Caenorhabditis elegans: one gene and its partner. The protein of the gene in region 1 interacts with the protein of each later gene in a pairwise test. Each region holds a gene or a part of one and is shown on either strand. Other genes may lie near its edges.

Region 1 (7,679 bases):
TACAAGGAGGCGGAGGAATTGGTACTTTTTCTCTGTCTTTCAATCTGCCAATTTGTATTGGAACAGAAGGTAGCTCATCATCTTGGAATAGTGGTGGGTATATTGGATCTTTTTGTTCAGATGATTCTTGTTTCAGATTCTTAAGCCTCTGCTTCTGAAAATTATGAATTTATTGTATTCTGAAGGAATATTTTGCATTTTCTTTACCTCCAAAATGTTCATTGACAGCGTATCCACTAGTGTTGATTTATCGATGGACGCCCTCCAGTTATCATTTGAATAAATGATGCAACTTGCAATTAATCGAAATAATTCGTTAGCATCTTCCATATTTGACTTCAAAACTGGCTGTTTTCTCTGAAACATTTCAATATTCGTCTGATTTTTTTTAAAACTCAAAACTCACATAAAATGCAAAGAATCGAAGTGCTTGACAAAGATCATCGAAGGTGAAACCGGATAGATTTGTGAGATCATTGAGATAGTTCTGAACAAAAATTTATGGTTCTTTTGTGGAATTTCTTAAAACTTACTTTGTACGGATTCAGCAATACTGTAAAATTAAGTCCTCGTAGTGCACGTACTTCCTGCAAGCTTCGACATGATTGATTTTCGTTCCTTCAGTTTTTTTTTCTGATCAACTTACCGTTTGAAACGTGTTTTTCAATGATTTGCTGCGTTGTTTCGAGGAGCAAACTTCCCAGAGTGTTGGTGGTGCGTTTGGCGGAAAAAATCGCTTGAATTTTTGCAAGTTTTCTTGAAAACGACGCTGTGGAGCTGTGGATGTCGATGGCACATGGGGATCGACGCGTGAAAACACGCGGTACGACATTTTTGAGCTGAAAATAGTGATATGAGGATTGAAATGACTTGAAGAAAAGATAAAAGCAAAGAAAACTAGAAATTAAGATTATTAATACAAAAAATTTGGCCTAAAAACGATGGGAAATTCGAAAAAATACAAAAAATGATGGGGTCAGGAAGTGCGCTCCATTGGACTAATAGCAGAAAAAATCGATTTTCAGGCGTTTTCAGATAGAAATCCATGCTAATTTGTTTTTTTTCGTGCCCAGAAATCTTTTGTTATGTGTGAAAGGGTGCTTTTAAATTGTTCTAATACCCATCAAAAACATAATATAAAGAGTTATTCGTATAGTGAAAGTGCAAGCGGCGTTTCAGGATTTTTATAGGAATAAGTTTAGCTAATTACAAAAAAAAATTGTTTTTACAATTAAAAAATTGCGACAAATTGAGGAGAAAAAGCTCGAGCTTAAATTTAAAAAAAAACTTTAAACTATTTTAAAGTTGAACCAAATTTTAAAAAAATGGGCAGGCGTTGAAAAATGGAAGTTTTCAAAATACTATGCGTTTCTCTTCATTGAAAACAAATTTCGTTTGAAAATCAAAAAGTTTTCATGCAAAACTAAAATGTCACAGGTTTCTGGTTGCCATAGCCATCAGCTAGAAATTCAAAGAGCGCGTGTTGGTGGACGAGGAAAAAGCGATGGTGAAGGAGAAGGCGGGTAGAATAAACCGACGAAGTGGGGGACACGGCCGAAATGACGGCGAAAGAGTGTGTGAGAAGCGGAGAGTGCAGAGATATAGAGACGAGCGAGACTCCTTCAAACACACTCCGCTTCCCCCAACATCAATTCGAAATGTGTACGTTTTAATCGATACTTTTCCCTATTCTTTCCAATAACTTTGTTTAATAAGTACATTAGATCATAGGACGTCATTTAAGACGTATTACACTTGCTGTAAACAGTAATGAATGAGAGGTTCGCTTTATTAATTTCTACTTGATCTTTTTTGGCAATTTGAAGGGCAGTAAAAATATATTGGCAAATTAAAATCTGTGGTTAGAAAACACGTAAACGTTTTAAGTATCACAATTTTTACAAACAGTTGAAAATTAAAAGGATGTTGAATTAATGATAAAATATCGTTGTTCGTGAGATTTCAGCGATTTCAGAAGCTTTTCGACGACTTGGAATGCGATTGTTGCGGTGACAAATGGTCCGAATATGCAGTAAAGTGAAAAGAGATCAGTGACCCAAACAAAAAGACAATGTTTGGTGCCACGTACGAAAAGAGTTCGAAGATGTGGATGGAGAGATGATAATGATGAAGATCGACGCATTTCTGAACGAGCAATCCATCGTTCGTCACGTGTTATTAGGGGAATTCTGAAATAATAGAGCGCATATAATTAATGGAACATTTAGAGGCTAACTCACTTTGAGGCTGACATACAGACTTGCTTTGAAGAATGATTTAAATACAAAAACGACCAAAGCGATTCGGAATTCGATCCGATTTGTGATATTTGATAAAGATTCGGCGTCTTCATCGCCTGTGCAAAGTTAACAAAGAACTTTTGATTATTTTCCAACTTCGTCACAATTTGTTGTCGAACTTCCTTGAGCCCATCGAAATGATCTCGTTTCACCGAAAGAAGCACAATGCACACAGGAATATCTTGCTCTTTATTGCACCATGGATACGATATGTAGGCGTAGAAAAATCCTGTGTCATTGAACCGTGGCAGACAGATTGGAACCCAATTCTGGGAGTCTGTTTGTAGAGTATTATCAGAGACAAGGTTGATGACAATGTTCAAATCACGAGGATGAATCATATATTTCTGAAACATAAATCAAAAATTAAATTAATCTCTATTTTTTATCATCCCACCTTAAATCTAACCATCGCTGCGATTTGCCTTCTCGCAATCATTATTCCGAAAAGAGCACCATCTAATTTCGCTGCTCCAAGACATGAAGCCATCGTTGTTGATAGAAATTCCCGATCTGATGGATTCATTGGAATTGCCGAAATCGAAGAATCGACAAGATTGATCGGGGAGGCTCTCCACGAAGAAATCGATGAATCAATTAAACGATCGGTTCCACGAAGAAGTTTTCGAAGATCGTAATTGTCACCCTTTTTCTTGTATACATTTTCCAATTGACTTTTGGAAAGAATCGAACAAATCTGCTCAAAAAGGACTTCCAGTTGTTGATCCAGTTGCTCCGGGTATTTTGAGACTGAAATCGTTGAAAGTTCTATCAAAAAAGAGAGAAATCAACGCGAAAACGCGCTAAACAGCGAATTGAAATAGTTCCGCCTCCGAACAATTGGTCTCGTTAGGTTCGGCGGCAAAACTGTAAACCCAAACGTTATGCTCTTCGAAAAATTTACGTTCCAACAGTAACAGAAAGCATAAAAGACGAAAAAATCTTGGCAATTTGCCAAATCGGCGAAACGAACTGAAAACATTTGAATTCTTGATTTAGCCGGTAAATTCCTAACGAGACCCATGCTTCGGGGGCGGAGCGCGTTTCCATTGCATAAAATTCTTACCAACGCAGAAAATAAGCGGTGATTTGTGTAAAAATTGAATGTGATTATCCTGTGACGTCATCGTCATCAAACTATCACCCCAAGATTGGCATCGGCTCACAAATGCACAAATTAGAGCCACCAAACTGACGATTTCACCCTCATTTCGATCGTTGCTGTAATTTTTAAAGAAGGCTTTGTGTGTTTGAATGGATAATATTTGCAAATTCTCACTTTACAAAAATCGGTTTTCCAAATTCGCTCAGAATAAACACCTGAAATGGAAGTTGCTCAAGATGTTCAAATATCACATCAGCATTTTTCAAATTCTCTTCAACATCTTCAATCTCTACTTGTGACACTTTATAACTCGCTTCACTTCCAGTATCGGCAGCTTCTGATCCACCAGGTACTTCTACTTCCATTCTGAAAATTGGCGAGATTTTTCTGAAAATTTCATGTTTTTTCAAGAATTAAGTATTGCTGTGGATTCAAAAAATGAGAACCAGACAGAGAGAAAATAAAAAAATAATATGGGAAACTGAAAATTAAAAAATTATTATGCACAAAGAATATACAAAATGCTTAATTGGAAAATTAGATCAATTGAAATTTCAGCAAAAAATACAGAAAAAAAAATGCAATGGTTTCAGTAACAATATCTACATATGCACACACGGATTCAATAGAAATTTTAAAAAAAGATATAAATCTACAAGCCAGTTCTCTCCATAATAGTTTGCAAGTCTCTCTGAAGAATTATATTTTTAGAAAGTGTCTCTTCAAGCATTCTTTGCAGCTTTTTGTTCATTTCACGGACATCTGAATCTCGGGAATCTTGGCCAAGTGTATTGAGCAGTTTTCGGAATGACGCTGGAATAATTTTCAGTATTTAAAAAAATGAAAATTTTAGAAGCTAAACCTTCAAGTTTCGGTTGAACAGAAGAAGAAGAAGAAGAACCCAGATTATTCTGTTGTTGAAATCCGGTGCCAAGAGGTTTTTCGCGGATCAAATTCTCAATTAATTCTCCTTTTTCCGTCACTTCCCGTCGCAAGCGACTATTTTCTGATTCGAGTTGGAGAATCTGAAAGATGATTATTCCAATATTTCAAAGAATTCTGCAAAGAAGATCCTACGGAATCTGCATTTTCCGAATGAATCTTTTGTAACGTGGCTAGACGAGTGATAAGTTCAACGTTCTCCGATTCGATTGCCGACATTGATGAAACACTTTCGTTTCCGTCGAAAGTCTGAAAAATTTGATGAATATATGTTAGTCCTTGATTAAATGTGCTTACATGACTACTTTGCCTATCATTTTCTGGTGGAACCACATGCCATCCAGCTCTTTCTTCGCTTTTTCTCTCATAAGAATCAGCTCGTTTTCTCTCTTCTTTTAATGATTTTTGTAGCTCTTTCACAAGAGACATTGCTTTTTTCACTGCGAGCTTCTTGTCTTCTTCCGCTGATTTCAGCTTCTCCTCTAAACTCGTCATTTTCAAAAGGAAACATTCTTTATCCGACTCAAAACTCTTTTTAAGATCATCAACTTCCAATTGATAACGAGTTTCGAGAAGAAGTACTCGGTCTTCTAAAAGTTTTTCGTGGTTCTTTGCAGCTTCATTAGTGTTCTGTTGGATTTGAGACGAAAGACGATGATTTTCCGATTTTAAAACTTCGATCTTTTTTTTCAAACCTGATATTTCTTGTTGAGATATTTCAGTCAGCTTTAGTTTTTCTGATTGTAGAGCAGCAAGGTTTTTAGAAACGTCATGATTTAGTTGATTTTCAGAGACGAGTTTAAAATTCTCAGCTTTTAAACTGTCAATTTCAGATTTCTGACTCAACATTGTCTTTCTATATTCCAGATTATCATCAGAAAGCTTTTTATTTTCATCCATCACTGCATTGTTACTCTCCTTCATTTTTTCAGCAATCCCTTCATTTTCTCTGCGTAATTCTTCAATTTCTTTCCTAATTCGCAAATTTTCCTCGACAACCTTCTCCTTAATTTTAAGAATAGCTTCGGATTCTGAAGTTATTGAGAGTAAACGATCTTCAAGCTCGACGTTCAATGTCTGACAGTTTTCAAGTTCTTCACTGAGACTTGTAACTTTGTTGCTTATAGCAGGAATTGTTTCTGTAACCTTTTATACAATTAATTGTATTGAACAAAGTTGGAATAAAATTACCTTGACATAGCAAAACTTTTTCGTCTGTTAAATTTTTAATAGCTTCTTTTAATTGTTCCACTGTTTGCCTTTCTTCTGCTTCTTTTTCCAGAGGATGATCAGAATAAGACGACATTTGATTCTTTAATGTCTCATTTTGTGTGGATATCTGTAATTTGGACATTGAAAAGCTTGAATTTTAAATGTAAAGTTTACTGTCTTGAGCTCTTCAAAAAGGGTAGATTGTTGAAGGCGAAACTCTTGCTCTTGGGTCTCTAGTTTCCGCCGAAGCGACTCAATTTCTGCTTCATCTTTTTTCGAAGAAGATGCTCTGTTGATTAACTGAAAGATTTAAATTAATTATAATAAAAATAAACTTTTCCTCACCTTGCTAGCAAATTGCAATGCTTCATTTTTCGGAGAGTTTTGGTGTTGGGAAGCTGCTGCGTTCTTCTTTTTAATCTCCTCTCGTAACTCGTAATTTTCATTTTTCAGCTGCAAAAGTTGCTCTTGAACAAGAAGGAATTCCTCCTTCGACAAGCCACCCGACTCTGTCGCCATTCTGCAAAAAGTTTGCAACGTAAAATACATAAATTGGGTGTTTAGGAGCAAACGTTTAAAAAACGAACTATAAATCTACACAAGGCGGTTGGAAAAATCAAAGAAAACTTGATATTTCATGTTTTTGTCCAATTACTCTTATTGATGCATAACACAAAAACAAAAAAACATAAACAAAATGCAAAACAGGTCAGAACACACGCGACTTGACGGTAAAGTGCACAGATGGCCGTAGCCTTGAGTTGAATATTCTAGTCCACGGCCATCACGAGGACATTTTTTCCACAGGATTTTTTAGACTTTTAGCGGTTATTCAAACATTTATCGTTTAGTTTTCCATGCTTTTCGAAGATAGGCAGAAAAATCGATCAACGGTAAGAAAAGTATATGTTCGTACAATCATATAATCTATTTACAGGGTCCAACACTCATCGGATTCAATCAAACTCAAAATGAACATGAGAATACAGTATGCCCAACACATCCGGAGTCTTCGGATCGAATTTTGAAGATTAAAGAGGCATTAACAAAGACGAAAATACTCGAAAAATGCACTGTACTAACAAATTTTCTGGAGATCGACGATGCTGACTTGGAAGTAACCCACGATAAAAGCATGGTTAAAGATTTAATGGAATCTGAAAAGAAAACACAAGAAGATATTAATTCACAGTGCGAAAAATATGATTCCGTGTTTATGACAGAGGTATTAATTGGGTAAAAAGAAGCACAAAACGTTGAGAATAAAGTTTCAGAACTCGATGAAAGTTGCCAAAGATGGTGTCGCGTGTGTTCGAGATTTGACGAATAGAATCATGGCTAATGAAGCTTCGAATGGTTTTGCAGTCGTCAGGCCACCCGGACATCATGCAGATTCTGTATCGCCTTGTGGTTTCTGCTTATTCAATAATGTCGCCCAAGCCGCCGAAGAAGCATTTTTCAGTGGAGCCGAACGGATTTTGATTGTCGATTTGGATGTACACCACGGACACGGAACTCAGCGGATTTTTTATGATGATAAAAGGTTAAAAAGGATTTTATAGTGAAATAATAATTTTCTTCAATGAATTTCAGAGTACTATATTTCTCAATTCATCGCCACGAACATGGTCTCTTTTGGCCTCATCTTCCCGAATCAGATTTTGATCATATTGGATCAGGAAAGGGATTGGGATACAACGCAAATCTGGCTTTAAATGAAACTGGATGCACTGATTCTGATTATCTATCGATTATTTTCCATGTTCTACTTCCTCTTGCAACTCAGTTTGATCCACATTTTGTGATAATCTCTGCTGGATTCGACGCACTTCTCGGTGATCCTTTAGGTGGAATGTGTCTTACACCTGATGGTTATTCACATATTTTATATCATCTGAAATCACTTGCACAGGGAAGAATGTTGGTCGTATTGGAAGGAGGTTACAATCATCAAATCTCTGCAGTCGCTGTTCAAAGATGTGTGAGAGTACTGCTCGGATATGCTCCATTTTCAATTGAATTGAATGAAGCACCGAAAGAAAGTACGGTTGATTCATGTGTTAGCCTTGTTTCCGTTCTTCGACATCATTGGAACTGCTTCGACTATTTTCCGTCTCGGA
Region 2 (6,463 bases), on another chromosome or scaffold:
TATCAACTAAAAAATATGGCTTCGAAATGGGATCGAACAATTGTTGCAGTTTTTGATTGGACATCGGCAAGGGATGATGTGTAGTTGGATGGAGGAATGATTAAGACAAGGAGGCGAGAATTAACCTGAAAAATAAAAACATTGAATTTTGTTTTTGCCAAGAATGTTGTTACCTTTTTGATAACAATCCACCAATCACTTGAAGATTTGACGAAACATTCACCAAATTCTTCAGTTTCCGACACAAAATTGCTCATTGTATCACATACTAAACGATTAACATCAACTGGTGGCAGTGGTACTTTTAATGTTGAATTAGATCCAGAAGCGGCAACGGGAAGCTTCGGAGATGTTGAAAGGCTTGAGGTCATGGATAACGATGATGGATTGAAGTAAATGTAATGGAAATCTGGAGCTTCCGGGAACTTTTCGTCGCCGATTCTGAAATTAATGGAATTTAATGGAATTTATTGTGATATAATGTAAGTTTGAACTTACTCGTCACCAATTTTACTCGCTACTTGTGAAAGTTCGGTTTCCAAAAACTGATCAATATTTCGAAGAAGTCGACGACTGACAACACCATTCTGTGAAGGAGTGGCGCGAGATGATTGAGATGATTCTGGAAAAGAAAATAAGTCGGAAAAAGATTTATTTTGTTTAAAGGTGGAGTTCGGAAAATGTAGATATTACCTTAAAAGTAGTTTAATGTGCCGAAATATCACATAAGAAAGATGAGAAAAATCCACCAAATTTGGAAAAAATCTGATTTTGATGAAAATTCAACTTTTGCTAATCCCTTTATTTGAATTACCACGCTTTTGTCTCTAAACTCCGCCCATAGAACCGTGCCGCACTTCGACTTTTTTTTTCAATTTCGACACGAATTCTTCTTTTTTGTGTTTCTTGACTAATTTTTAATGAAGAAAAATTCAAAAATGTTCAAAAATATTTTTCCTATTTCAAAAGCATTTAGAAATCATTTTTAAAAACGTTTCCTTGTGTTTAGAATTTCAGGAACATGTACTTTTTTCGGGTTCGATACGATTTTTTAATTCTTTTGATATACAAAAAAATATATTTGATCATTTATGCCATTTTTCTATATTAAGAATAAAAAAACAACACAAAAAGACAAATTTGCGGTACAATTGCAAAAAAACGAGGCGCGGCACGGTTCTACGGGTGGATTTTAGATACAAAAGAGCGGCAATTCAAATTAGCAGATTAGCAAGAGTTGAAAATCGCTTTTTTATTTTCAATTTATTCTCAAAACGTAATAAGAACGTTTCGTTTCGAAAAACTATTTTTAAAAACTCACCAGAATCCCTTCTGATTTCTAATCCACCATTTGCTGGACAATTTCTGACAAACATGCAAACTGTTGCATTTAGACATCGATAAACGATCATCTGGTATCCGATGAGTTCTTCTTGAAATTCAGTTCCTTGATCGGAATGCAAATGAACTACAGAAAGTGACTCATCACCGAGCAACGGAGCATCTGTTGTTAAATCTGTTGGTCCTCGTAGATATCTTCCTTTTGAAGCATTTCTTCCAGAATGTTCAAGTTCTGGAGCCAATGTTGTTGGAAGCAAATTATGTGTCAAATAATGAAATAGTGATGGAAGATCGCGTTTCGAAAGTTGATAGTAGAGAAGTTTATCTTGATACAAGAACATTATTTTCTCGATAACTTGGAATTCTTCACGAAGTTCGGAAAGTAAAGAAACAACGTTCAAGTAGAGAGGACCAGACATTCGTAGAAATTCGACGCCTCCAAGATGATCAAGTAGTGGCATTTTGTGAACTTTCAGTAGTGGGATGTACTTGGAGAAGAAAAAATCAAGGCGTTCTTTGAATTTTGGAATGTCGTCGGGAACATTTCTGAAAGATATTTTTATTTTTATAAACTAGACTTTAACTTACTTGATAAAAGAAGAAAAAGTTCCAAAAAACATTCGAAACATTTTGTAGGCATCGGAAAGTATACTCCTAATCGCTGGTTGAAATAGAGGATAATCAGAAACCAATGATAATTGTTTAGAAATTGATACTCCAAGAATAAATTGATCGTCTTCTGTACGAATATAAACGTGCTCTGTTCTCTGCGTCGTCACAGTTCGGAAATCGAAACCATCTTCATTTTCACTAATTCTTTCACTGATTTCCCGACGGGAGGTGCTCAAGAAATTTTCTGTAAAGTTAACAACGGCTTCTGCGAATCCTGTTATTTCGGTCTGAAATTAATACAGTTATTAGAATAAAAAGTATTACGATATTGAAAACCTGTCTCTCTAATTGCTCGCCTTTCGGATGAAAATACATCACACGATTATGTTCTTCGCCTTCTTTTCGTCCTGATAATGGATGCGCCACGAAAAAGAATTCAAGGACATCTGTAAAAACATAATTATTTCGTTTTTTTAATTAAAATTCAATTACCAATGAATCTGACCACATTAGAGCAGGATGGCGGGTTTAATGACAAGTTGGAGAAGAAATACAATGGATTTGCAATCGACTCCATTCTGAAAAAAGCAAAATATATGTTTTGTACCGTGCAGTGTTAAAATTAAAATTAAAAATAAAATAAAATAAAAGAGAGAAAAAGAGTGTGTGAGACTAGGAGGGTAGCAGACATAAATGATTGACGCAAACGTTGTTCACTGACGCAAAACTTGATCACTGGCGCATGTCTCGATTTATTTTTTAAATCCTCCGCAAATTTTCTGCAAAACCATGCAGAATATATATATTGTTTATTTGTCACAAGAAAGAGATAAAATATTTGATCATATAAACATATAACTTTTAGACGACATGAATGAAAATTCTAGCTGGAGAGGTGGCAGTAGCTCTCAGCACGGTCAATCATGGCGCAGTGGCGATATTCCACTCCCTAGGGACTTCCCTCCACCAGGTTTGAATCTTTTAAACGTTTCAAGATTGTAAATCATTAATTTTTGACTTTTCAGAACGGCAGTCGATTCCTTCTCTGATGGATCCACCAGAGATTGTCGAATGGCGCAAGAAAATCGATGAGTTACGTCAAAAGATTATCGACAGTGAGCAGAATTTGAACGCTCACAGAAATGGAATGGACGAGCTCCTAATGGTGTGTTTTGCAAACATACAATCTTGTATCCACGTTTATCCAGGCACATCTTAAATCTGCTATTCGAACTTCTGAAACAATGAAAATTGAGAAGATGTTGAGTCAGAATAATCTGAACGTGGAAGATCTCAATTCCTATTTAGATGCAATGGCTACACCGAAATGCTCTAAAGATTTGATTTCAGTAAGTAATTTTTCAAAAAATAAAGAAATTTGACGAAAAATTTTCTTCAGCAAGCGAAAAAGTGGATTTTCGAATACTGCACAAGCGATCAGCTGAGAGAAATAATACTGTCTTTTCTGTTAAATAAAGTTAAAGATGAAGCATCTGGAGAATATCTACGACTTCATATTCTATATTTAATCAATGATTGGGCATTTCATTGGTAAGCTTAGAATACTGAACAAAACGTCGTTAAATACCAAATTTCAGTCAAAGAAAAAAAGAAGAAAATCAAATGAAAATGCTGGCTCGATACGTTCCAAAAATGTATGCATATTGTATAGAACTTTCTTCGTCGAGTGAGTTGAGCAACAAGTTAGAAGGAAAGCTTTTAGGAGAATGGGAAGGTCGACAATATTTCGCTGATTCTGTATTCAAACAACTCAGGAATACAGTTCAAATTGTTAGCACTGACAGAGAAATTGAAAAATCATCTTATGGAACAATTCGGGAGTCGATTCGAAGTAATCTGATGGCAACGTTTGATGGATATGAACAACAGCATGTCACATATTCCCAGCATATTCAAAGACAAATTGACGAAGTTGAGAGAAAAATTGATGGTGAGAAATAGAAATTTAGTCTGAAAATTTTAAAAATTGGTTCTTACAGAGTTTCGTCATGGGCCATCATCCGGACCTGCATCGCATCATCCTAATGCTCCACTGTCAAACATGAGAAGATCAAGATTTGATCAAGCTCCAAAACATTCAGCTGAACGACCACACGCTTCTGTTTCGAACACATGGAATCAAAATGACCAGCAGGACGATGGAGAAGATATTGATGGAATGCCGTTTGATGAGGAAAATTTGAAGCCACAGAAATCGTATATGGCTTTACCGGCTGGAATTATGACTCCACTAGTTTCGATGAATAGTGTCATGGTATGTTATGATCCGATATTTTGTCAATTTATATTTTATTTGATTCAAGTATGAACCATTGGACCCAGAAGAACTTGAAATGCCAGCATCAGTTCCACCGTCATCAAGACTACTTGCTGCTAAGAATATGTTCCACAAAGGTGTCGAAATGGATATTGCTTTGGCCGATGGAGCGTACGTTCTCAAAATCAATTCAATTTTTTATTAAATTAATTATTTACAGAATCACCGAAGATCCGACCAACTTGAAATACCCTCTTGAGTTTTTGGAAGAAAAGGCACGTATTAAAAAGACATTCGAAGAAAAACAAAAATGTTCTGTCGAAGAATTTATCACAAATCGACCATCTGCAACTGATCGAGAACGATTTGACAAAACAAGAAAATTGAAAGAAGAAGATCAAATTGAAAAAATTCGTAAATGCGTCGACGCATACTATGCTTCACAGGAGCCACCCGAAAATTTAAGAGAAGATTCCGAGGCGAGGCGTTCCAATTCACGATCCCCTCCTAGAGACCACAAGAGATCGAGGTCGCCGTCACGAAGTCCAAGCCCGAGAAGACGACAACGATCTTCATCGAATTCATCTAGGTCTTCGGGTTCTTCGTCAAGATCCTCTTCTTCTAGCAGAAAATCGTCTCCGGAAAGAGGAAGAGACAGTAACATTGGACAGCGAGGATACGGCGGAGGAGGTTTCAGTGAAAGGTTTGTTTGATTAATAAAAAAATGTTGATATTAAAAATTATATTTCCAGACCTTCGTTTGGATTCAAATCTGCCCAGGAACCACTCTCGTACGATAACAAAGGTGCCCAACTTATGGCTAAAATGGGTTGGGGAGGAAAAGGATTGGGAGCAAATGAAAGTGTAAGAATCAAAATATTTATTTTTCAGAAATAATTTTCCAATTTTTCAGGGAATCGTTGATCCTGTGTCTGGTGGAGAAGTTCGTAATAGAAATGAGCAATTTATGGGCCTTGGTCGTTCACTTGATCCATATGAGCAGTTCAGAAAACAACGATCTGGAACATACCACGACCGAGGAAGTTTTCACCGAAAATAGAATCTCTACGTTTTAAATTTATTTTTTTTGTTATGCAATAATTGTTGAGAAATCATTAATTTGTTTATTTTATCATCATTAAAATGATCTCCGAAACATACACATTATTAAAGCTAATGCGAAGCGATGATTGGCGACGTAGCCGTCTATTTTTTTACAGACATTCACAATCTTTTGTGAGTTGAAGCATGAGATTGAATTATTCAAGGTAGAAGACTGGACGTGGCTTGGGGCGAAGTGGGATCATTCGATGGGCAAAAGCTATCCAGAGAGCAGTGACGACAACTAACTGGGCGAATAAAAGCTCCCAAACTCTTTGAGGACCAAATGATGCGTATATTGCTCTGAAACAAAACAAATACTACCAAGGCGCGGAGTTTGCTATTCTTCCGCATAAAACTACTGTTCCCGGTCTCGATACGACAAATTTTGCTGATTGCAAAAAAGCGTGCGCCTTTAAAGAATACTGTAATTTCAAAGATGCGGAATTTTCATAGATTCTTCAAAGTTTTTCTCACAGATTTGATACGATTTGTATCGTTTTATTTGAGTTTTTTAGAGAATAAGCATATTTTATAGATAAATTATGCGCAGCATTCAAAGTTTGAAATTACAGTACTTTTTAAAGGCACACATTTTTTAGTTAACAAAATTTTGTCGTGTCGAGTTACCAAGTGAAATATTTTTTAGCAGAGCATTTCCTTCGAAGTTCAAGCTTACGTGCAAAGAACAGGAGCTACAACTCTCGCAAAAACTTGGGAAACGTCATAGAGACTTTGCTCCAATGCTTGGCCAACTGGATTGAATAGTTTTGAATAAAGCGTGGCATCTCCAACATTTATAAATGGGACACAACCACCAAAAGCTATAATATATCCAATGTAGAAGAACTGTAAAATCGTCAAATTACAGTAACCCTGAGAATTATCGCACCGCTTGAGATGTTTTTGGAAGTCCTAAACACCATGAATATAATGAATAATCACATCCTCCGTGAGTTCCATCTGTATTCACAACTACATTCGTTGGAATATACGGCCATTGATATGTTGTTAGAACATATATGATAAATATTATCAAACTAATTGTATTCACTTTTCCAATATTCAATTTTCGAGCAACATCCGTGAAGACAAAAGTACTGTAGAGAGATAGTGCGAAGACTCCGGCGA

Evidence for each region. Proteins that work in one complex are often made in the same cells at the same time.
Region 2: the proteins of sand-1 (region 1) and ccz-1 interact in a two-hybrid assay, tested with the Caenorhabditis elegans proteins (2 studies listed by BioGRID).

The regions. Positions count from the first base shown.
Region 1 is NC_003282.8:5,362,959-5,370,637, reverse strand, and holds sand-1 (Vacuolar fusion protein MON1 homolog), read right to left. Parts: upstream 3,772-7,679; 5' UTR 3,771-3,771; coding exon 3,580-3,770; intron 3,522-3,579; coding exon 3,367-3,521; intron 3,051-3,366; coding exon 2,698-3,050; intron 2,648-2,697; coding exon 2,241-2,647; intron 2,190-2,240; coding exon 1,916-2,189; 3' UTR 1,773-1,915; downstream 1-1,772. Other genes in the region: F41H10.3 (RNA-directed RNA polymerase), read right to left, coding at 1-154, 208-357, 407-487, 534-587, 647-832; F41H10.4 (GRIP domain-containing protein), read right to left, coding at 4,058-4,218, 4,268-4,430, 4,483-4,596, 4,645-5,486, 5,539-5,686, 5,734-5,859, 5,905-6,078; hda-6 (histone deacetylase), read left to right, coding at 6,417-6,452, 6,497-6,784, 6,828-7,102, 7,153-7,679.
Region 2 is NC_003283.11:13,674,943-13,681,405, reverse strand, and holds the start of ccz-1 (Vacuolar fusion protein CCZ1 homolog), read right to left. Parts: upstream 2,532-6,463; 5' UTR 2,531-2,531; coding exon 2,446-2,530; intron 2,400-2,445; coding exon 2,290-2,399; intron 2,241-2,289; coding exon 1,930-2,240; intron 1,888-1,929; coding exon 1,322-1,887; intron 1,159-1,321; exon of another isoform or gene 1,009-1,158; intron 623-1,008; coding exon 499-622; intron 442-498; coding exon 174-441; intron 126-173; coding exon 3-125; 3' UTR 1-2. Other genes in the region: tag-65 (CID domain-containing protein), read left to right, coding at 2,824-2,923, 2,979-3,118, 3,162-3,302, 3,353-3,504, 3,552-3,904, 3,954-4,228, 4,278-4,402, 4,452-4,934 and 2 more; F58G11.4 (MFS domain-containing protein), read right to left, coding at 5,491-5,635, 6,012-6,181, 6,225-6,463.